2 linked regions of the Solanum lycopersicum genome follow. Each later gene encodes a partner of the first gene's protein in a complex. Links are inferred from orthologs where the notes say so. Each region holds a gene or a part of one and is shown on either strand. Other genes may lie near its edges.

The links.
Region 2: sister chromatid cohesion 1 protein 3 (region 1) and sister chromatid cohesion 1 protein 1 share a complex: the UniProt entries of both Arabidopsis thaliana proteins name them as parts of the cohesin complex. The link is inferred for Solanum lycopersicum from reciprocal best matches to the Arabidopsis thaliana genes SYN3 and SYN1.

What each region holds. Positions count from the first base shown.
Region 1 is NC_090800.1:77,424,471-77,428,619, forward strand, and holds the end of sister chromatid cohesion 1 protein 3, read right to left. Parts: coding exon 4,125-4,149; intron 4,032-4,124; coding exon 3,964-4,031; intron 3,884-3,963; coding exon 3,510-3,883; intron 3,412-3,509; coding exon 3,300-3,411; intron 3,217-3,299; coding exon 3,080-3,216; intron 3,006-3,079; coding exon 2,521-3,005; intron 2,226-2,520; coding exon 2,186-2,225; intron 2,017-2,185; coding exon 1,944-2,016; intron 1,874-1,943; coding exon 1,741-1,873; intron 1,520-1,740; coding exon 1,418-1,519; 3' UTR 1,391-1,417; intron 873-1,390; 3' UTR 608-872; downstream 1-607. UniProt on the Arabidopsis thaliana protein: May be involved in sister chromatid cohesion during mitosis.
Region 2 is NC_090805.1:48,879,430-48,883,302, forward strand, and holds the end of sister chromatid cohesion 1 protein 1, read left to right. Parts: intron 1-127; coding exon 128-200; intron 201-388; coding exon 389-498; intron 499-852; coding exon 853-926; intron 927-1,012; coding exon 1,013-1,174; intron 1,175-1,368; coding exon 1,369-1,534; intron 1,535-1,611; coding exon 1,612-1,887; intron 1,888-1,978; coding exon 1,979-2,057; intron 2,058-2,261; coding exon 2,262-2,413; exon of another isoform or gene 2,414-2,424; intron 2,425-2,508; coding exon 2,509-2,593; intron 2,594-2,687; coding exon 2,688-2,800; intron 2,801-2,910; coding exon 2,911-2,993; 3' UTR 2,994-3,347; downstream 3,348-3,873. Other genes in the region: uncharacterized protein, read left to right, coding at 3,749-3,873. UniProt on the Arabidopsis thaliana protein: Involved in chromosome condensation, pairing and segregation during meiosis. Responsible for cohesion between replicated sister chromatids.

The sequences.
Region 1 (4,149 bases):
TGGATCGCCTCCCAATATTTTCCACTTCCCATACCCCTAATTTTTTAAAAAGATAAGAATATCAGTTATTTTTCAAAAAATATTTTCCTATAGGAAACTTTTTTTCCTTCCTACTAAACACAACTATATTACTACTACTATACTATGAAGTTTGAACTTAGAAGAGATTCCTTTAGATCTAAAAAGAGTACCAAGTGTTTGACATTTAATTTAATGTTATTGTCTACTAACAAGAATGTGTCATCAGTTAATGGGAGCAATGTACAAAGTTTGTTATGGCAAAGGAGAAGAAAGGGAGAAAGGTTGTGATGAAACTTTTGAGGTCTTAAAATATCTCGACAATGAGCTTCAAAACAAGAAGTTCTTTGGAGGAGACAGCATTGGATTCGTCGACATCGTTGCCAGTTACATAGCTCTCTGGTTTGGAGCAATTCAAGAAGCAATAGGGATGGAACTGTTGACTGAACAAAAGTTTCCCAAGTTAAGCAAATGGATTGATGAGTTCTTGTGCTGTAGAATTGTTAAGGAAAATCTCCCTAATAGAGAAGTATTAGTGCCTTTATACAAAGCTCAATTTGCAGCAGCAACTCAAAAGGCATCCAGCTGAAATTTTTATGTCTTTAGAAATAAAGTATGTTGAACATTTAGTTATTACTTATACAAAAAGAGAGCTTGAGCAGCTCAAATGCACAATAAGCAGGATAATCTTTGTACAATGATAAATATTTTGCGATTATTATATTCATCACGGATGTCACTTCCACCTTGTTCTGTATAACTTAAATCACTTAGTAATGCATAATAGTTTAGACAAAATGCCTGCCAGGATTATACATCTTCATGACCGCTGCATCTCTGTACAAATGTTTTAACTGCAATCACATTGAGATTTGTTAGGAAAATAACCATACAAATATTTGTGCTAAAAACATCAAATAGAAGAGCTTATTCAAAGTACAATCCAAAAAAAAATTAACTTCTGCATTGTTACACAGTATTTAACAGCATTTTACAGAAGGAAAATCACACCCTGATGCGTCAACAAAGCAATATTCTATAATATATGTATGTGTGTGCATGCACAGGGCTGCTGCTTTAGAGTCTTGATCATCGGATATCATTGAGATATAAATAAGAAAAAGGTGTTATCAAACAATTTCCTGCAACTCTTCCCACTATGAAATGAGTAAAAGAATCAAGATACAAGTCTTCATCTATATGAAAAGCATCGTTTTTTTTTCCTTTCGGTTGCATTTATAACATATTAACTGAAGCTTTGGGATAAATCTACCTCTTAAACTTTTCTGCATTGACAGGTCAAAACTAAGCTAATAAGACGACTATGTCTTTAATTTATTAAGGGTGCAGTCAAAACTAGGACAAATTATACCTTTATATATAGTTCTACACAATGGTCTCAGCTTGAAAATTTCTCCGTCAGTTTGGAAGTCACTTTCAGAGTTATATCACCATAAGGTTCATGTTGATTTGCACGTACAAGTCCACAATTCTCCAACACCTGTATTCAATTTCCAGAAGGATGACGGTAAGGATCTTATGATATATATACCAAATATGATTGGACTAAGCAATAAGCATACCATAGACAACTAACAGAGAAACTTATATATACACCTTTCTTGACTCAATTCAAACATCCACGAAAAGTTCAATTTGAAAAAAATGACTTGTGTCCCCAAGTAAGAGCAATTAATCATGAAAATATTGTAGAGGACTTACCAGAGTCTCATAAAACATCCGGGCGCATATTCTTTTCTTTTTGCCTTCTAAAATTGCATTTAAGCTGATATCTCCTGTCTCTTCTGAGATGAGGGTTACTGGTGACTGCCCCTTCAAATATTGAGCCACAGCTCTGCAATCATAGAGTTAAAAGACTATCCTGAAAGTAAATATATATGAGAAGAATGTTCAAGGAATGTTACCTTGTCCTAGCAGATAATGTGTCAAACTCTGGCGTTCCCCTTTGCTTACTTGATAAAGGAGTTCCTCGAAGTCCTGGTTTTAGCATATGGACATACAAGCTTCAGGCATATATTACATCATTAATAACAAAAACAGAAATGCAATGCTGCAGACATTAGTAGATAAAATTGACCAACATTATCCAAATCAATTCAAACCCTCAAACTAAAAGGAAAAAAAGAAGAAGAGGTTCTTAGCGTACCAATAGGAGTGTCGTCATCTTGTTCTAGAAAACTTAGATCCTGCAATGGCATTTAGTGATTTATCAGATGCAAAGAAAGGAAGAACTAGTTGAATAGTCATATAGGATGACAAGTTGACCATAGCAGTGCACTAGGTAATAAAGCATTGAATGAGAATAACCACAAGAATGTTAAAATATAAGCCATTTACAAATCTCAGTCTAAAATTTATTAAAGATGTGTTGAAAGGGTTAATGAGACTACTACGGATGATACAAAGCTGCTGAAAAAGTTATCTAGATGAATATCAAAGTAGATTCACAATTTAATAGAAAGTGACCATGATCGAACGTACCCCAGCAGAATTATCAAACTCAGGAATATCAGATAAGACAGTATCCTCCACACCTAGTCCTTCTCCAAACCATGTTGAAGGGGTCTCCATATGAGAACCAACATGCCCAGTAGATGCTGCTGGGTCGGGCGTGGGCTGCACCCCACTATCTATGGTTCTTCCTATCTGACTAGATTCTGTCCCTAAAGTTGTAGTAGCAGGACTGAAGTCATCTCTTCTGCTTGTGGAAGGCATGGACATCAGTGGAGAAGAAATGAGCCTACTTGGGGAAGGCATAGACATCTGTGGAGAGGAAATAGGCCTATTTGGTGAAGGCAAAATCTCAGACAGCAAACTAGTGCTTGCAAGGTCTTGGTTATCACGTAATCTTTCAATTTCCACCGGAAGATCATTCCCAGATGGAGGGGCTTCCTGTGGGGAAGCCATCTGGACTTTTGCGGAAATGAAGTCTTTTTTGTAGATATTGCAAAGATCATCGCATAATCCTACAGATTAACAGAAGTTGAATTTTTAGGTGAAGAACATTAGACTCATTAGATAATGGCTGTGAGACACCCACCAGTAATTAAAGGCTCAAAGAAAATTCCATCTTTTCTTAGTCTCTGGTTTTGTTTCCAGATGTCCAAAGAAAAACAAGGAACCTTCTTCTTTTCGCGTGATTTTATACCGATGCCCTTTAGTCTCCTTTTCATCTCACTGTAGAGTTGAACATGATACATTGTCAAAATACCAATGGTTGAAGAAAATATATAGTTAATGATGATAAAATATTAACATACTTATTTGGCAATACTATGTCCTTATCATAGATGAGTAGCTTTCGCTTTCTTCTTATTTTTGGCACCTCGAGAGGAGGTGTTGAAAGAAGTGCTAAATCAGGTGACTGATGCCCTGAATATCCAAGAAAAGAAGAAGTTTCATGTTAGAATATTAACATGGCAAATATGTAATTTCAGTTTAATAATAAGAACCTGCATGCAAGCACCCACCAAATGATATCTGTGGATCAGCAAATTCATGAGCATCCGCTGAAGTAGTTGATGGTGGTTCTTGTCGTTGTTGAGATGGGATTGAATGTCCTCCGGGGGCCAATATCTCTTTCACAACTGGACTTGCAGTTTCCTTGTCTCTCATGATCTGTTCCTCCAGAACTCTATCTGGTTCCATCACATCATTCCCTCGGTCAGACCACAAGGGAACATTCTCAAAACTGTGATCATGGACAGCGTCACGCATGAGTTCAATATCTGGAAAATCTTGAGGGATGTCATCACCAACAGTTCTTTTGTTTAGTCCTTCCTGATTCTTAGGGGAAGAATGTTGGGGTTGAGCAGCAGTTTCATCTAAATTTGAAGGATCAGAACTGCATCATCAAAGAAATGTCTATTACAAACATGGCAATAAACAGAAACAATCCACATCTATAGTCAATAAGATGCATACTCTATCTCCATAGGCATGGAACCTAATCCAGAAACTTCACCTGATTTTGACAAACTCTTCACTATGTCCTGTAAAAACAAACTCTTTGTCAAACTAGTGTTGCAACTTAAGTGAATAAATCGAAACTTCGCTGCTAATTATGAAGCAAAAGATTTACCCACCTCATCAATGAAAATAGCAACATAC
Region 2 (3,873 bases), on another chromosome or scaffold:
AGCATAGATTATGCTACTTTCACCATCACAATAGAATATATAACTATATCCTAGTCAATGCTACTTTGTTTTCCAGTTTTGTCTTGTTGTGCCCATCTCTAAAACAATCCTGAAACCCTTGTTGCAGTTGATCCAGATAATATCACCCTCGCTGAACGCTTTGAATCCCATCATACAGATATGTTCAATCATTTTGAGAGGTATCACGATGAACAGTTTGTAGGCTCTGTATTTCTAAGTTTGTACGATCAGTTCGCATAAAAACTTCACGTGAACCAAACTATCCACCATTAAATCACAGGAGGCTAATTAGCCCCATTTTTAATTAACTGCAAAGCTTTCCTTCTATTATCCCCCTATTAATTTTTAAGCATGAATTGTTCTGCAGGTTTGATATTGAAGGGGATGAAGAAACACAAATGAATTATACCCAGCCAGAGGATGCTCAAATCCCAAGTACTCCTGTGCAATCTCCACCTCGAGAACAAGCCCATCAACGTAAGAACGTGTTACTATCTTCTACTTTAGATAAATGAAGTTTTTTGAGATGTAAATAGTAGATGGAGTTACGATATTTCATTATTTCACTTGGTTTTCTGATAGAGACATAATGGCAATAAACCCTTCCTCTCAAATAGGAACATGAATGCAAGTCGTACTTACCTACTATGAGATCAGTTAAAATACTTTGTAGCTACCTGGCTGCTTACCATTAAACTTCCGGTTTACATATGAAGTTCCTTCAAGCACAGAACTCTTTTGGATTGAGTTGAGCTTGTAAAAGTCTTTAGATTTCCTTAGGTAATTAATTATTTCTGAAAATTGGTTGAATGGAGCGAAACATTATTGCAGCTGATGAGATCCCTGACAGACATCCAGAGGACCAAGTGAAGCAACAATCTGATGAAGTTAAAGAAGCTTTTGAGGTAGAAACTCCACAAGCAACCAAGCTAGAAAATAATGTAAAGAAAAACTGTCAGCACTAATGTTACGTCTTGACATGATATTGTAGCAGCGGCAGGATCAACAAAGGCCAAAGCCAGCTCGACGAAGAACAAGAAAGGCCACAAGTCTTGCAATTGATCATGAGCAAACTATTATTTCTGGTGACATATATCAATCCTGGCTTCAGAGTTCTTCAGATATTGCATCAAGAAAAAGGAAAAAGAGAAAGGTACTTCCATACCTCCCAATCTAGATCTTCCCCATTTCAATTTTTCCATTGTGTGCACCGTATAACCTTTGATATCAATGGCTAGTCTTTGTGTATCCCAAGAATAGCATGTGCATCTCTCTCTGGAAGGTAACCTTAACTAAACTAACATGCAGCATCATTTATTAGTAACCTTAAGTTTCTATTCTGTGCAGACTTTGAGTGTCTTACCTTCTATGAAGATAGCCAGAATGATGGAAATGCCTCCTATTGCACTACTAGAAGGATTGTTCACAAATGGAAATAAGGAAGTTCACTATCCAGCACCACTCCTAAAATTATGGATGAGGAATACCCAACCTCCGCATGATTCACCTTCCGGTCTGGTTTTTCATCCATGATATTAGACTCTTAGTTGCCAAAACTATAAACAGGTGGTAATTACATTTGACTTGCAGGAAAAACCTCTCCACCCTTTCCTCCTGAACCATCCTATACATCTCCAGGTGAAAGGATGGGTAATTTGGAACCGCCTTTCGAATATTTCCAAGGCGGTGTAGGCTCCCCAGCAGTAGGAATCTCTATAGAAAAACAAAGGGCAAATCTCAACAATAACAAGATTCCACCTGAAATTCTCATGGAGGACCTCAGAACCAATCTTACAAATATGGGACTGCATCCAACAGAGACTAATGGAGTGAAAGAGACTGATCACATGGCCACACCTGGCTCTGGTATATCGATTTTTTTATGAATTTCCCAATCTCCATGATTTGTTCGGCAATCTGATATGGTGGTATAACTAACATTTTTGTGAATCTATAGGTGATGAGCCTAGATCCATTCCAAGCTCAGGATCTGGTCATGGTTTACTATCACAGAATTCTGTAACCGATTCAAGTCGGTTAGTACTACTAGTAGATATATGTTGAGGGATTTGTCTAAAGATGAACCACTTGAATCATACAGACAATGACAGAAGGAAATAATGAATATCATGGATTTCAGCACCATAGGGAACTTTAAAACTTTGCTTCTTTTTAAAATTATGAAGGTCTCACCATATAGCAGCATCTGGTTACATTGATCAAAATTGTTAACTCTTCAGGTCCAACAAGAAAAGACCCCATTCTTCATTGAAGCACAGTGGCAATGGTCTTCAACCAGTAGCAGAAGAGAACCCATGGCACGACCCCACTCTAAATTTCAAGTTGACTAGATTATCTGAACTATCTGAAAATGGTTTTACACAAGACAACGGTTCGTGAATAGTCAGTAACCTTCCCATTTTAGTTCTGGTCATTTTCTTTAATGTGGTTTAGTTTGTTATGAACCTCCCTTCACTATTTTGGCAGAGATATTGATGGAAACCGGACCAACACAAACCCAACATCCATTCATTACTCAACCTCTTGACATGATGACTGACTCTATCAGGATGTAAATCCTTTTCCATTTGTTCCTAAAACTTCTCCAGCTTCACTGTATATCATCTGATTAATTGATTTTTCACCTGATAAACTGATGTCTACAGACAGCTAAAGAGTCATTTTGACACTCCCGGATCGGCAGAAGCAGAATGTTTGAATGAACTAACTCTTGGAATGACAAAGAAACAAGCAGCATGTCTTTTTTATCAGACTTGTGGTATGCAAACTTCTTTCATATCTTTTCCTCTTGCATTGCAGCTCAGAGAAACTTCATAGTTTCCAGCTTCTCATTAGAGAGAATTAATGTTTGCTCCATTCTACGTGCAGTTCTGGCCACTCGAGACTTTGTTAAAGTCGAACAGGAGCTTCCATATGGAAACATCCTCATTTCCAGAGGTGCAAAGATGTAACAACGGATAAATCTAGTAGATGCTAAATCCTCACAAGTCTTATAGATTCATCTATTGTTATAGCTGATACAAATTTATTTTTCGGTTAAGGTATTGGAGAATTGAGGCACAGATTTATAGCTCAAATTTTCAGGAGAAAGTATTTTTATTGTTAACCTATCTAGTGTATAATCGTAGAAGCATAGTTATCTCCAAGAGAATATAGATAGAAGTATATGATTGGTCATTCTGAAACTAGCTAATTGTACTAGCATTTGGTGACAGCTAAAAACTATGGGCTTCCTTTGTTTGATCTTTATAAAAACGGGTCAGGTAACTTAAAGTTTCTGTACGAATTGACCTATTTCTTATTGATCTCTATTTTGTGAAATAAATTTAACTTCTATTTCTTGCCTGGAATCAATTTTATAATAATTAAATTTTCTTACATCAATCACATAGTATATAATTCATTCAATACAAGTTCTAAAAAAAATTGGACAAGTTAGGTCTTTTGTGTAATATTAGAATACAAAATTCTGTCTTGCTATTTCCATTTTTCTTTTTTAATATTAAGGATATTTTTCTTACCAAAAATTAAAAAACCACCCAAAAATAGGCATTCGTGCCAATGACCCACGCCACTTCCGCCCGGTCCAAAATCAAATGCCCTACATTATCTTATCTTTGAATATCTAGAGTCTAGTCTCCTTCTCGCATTCGCAAGAAAATTACTGCCGTAGAAGTTAAAGGCTCTCATTGTTTCCGACGGCGACATGGCAATGACGATGACCACTGCAATGGCATCGCCGTCGCGGCGGCTGCTTATCAACTCTCGACATAGCACCATCTGCACTATCCCCAAGAATGTGGCAATTTACCCAGCAGCAGCAGTTACAAA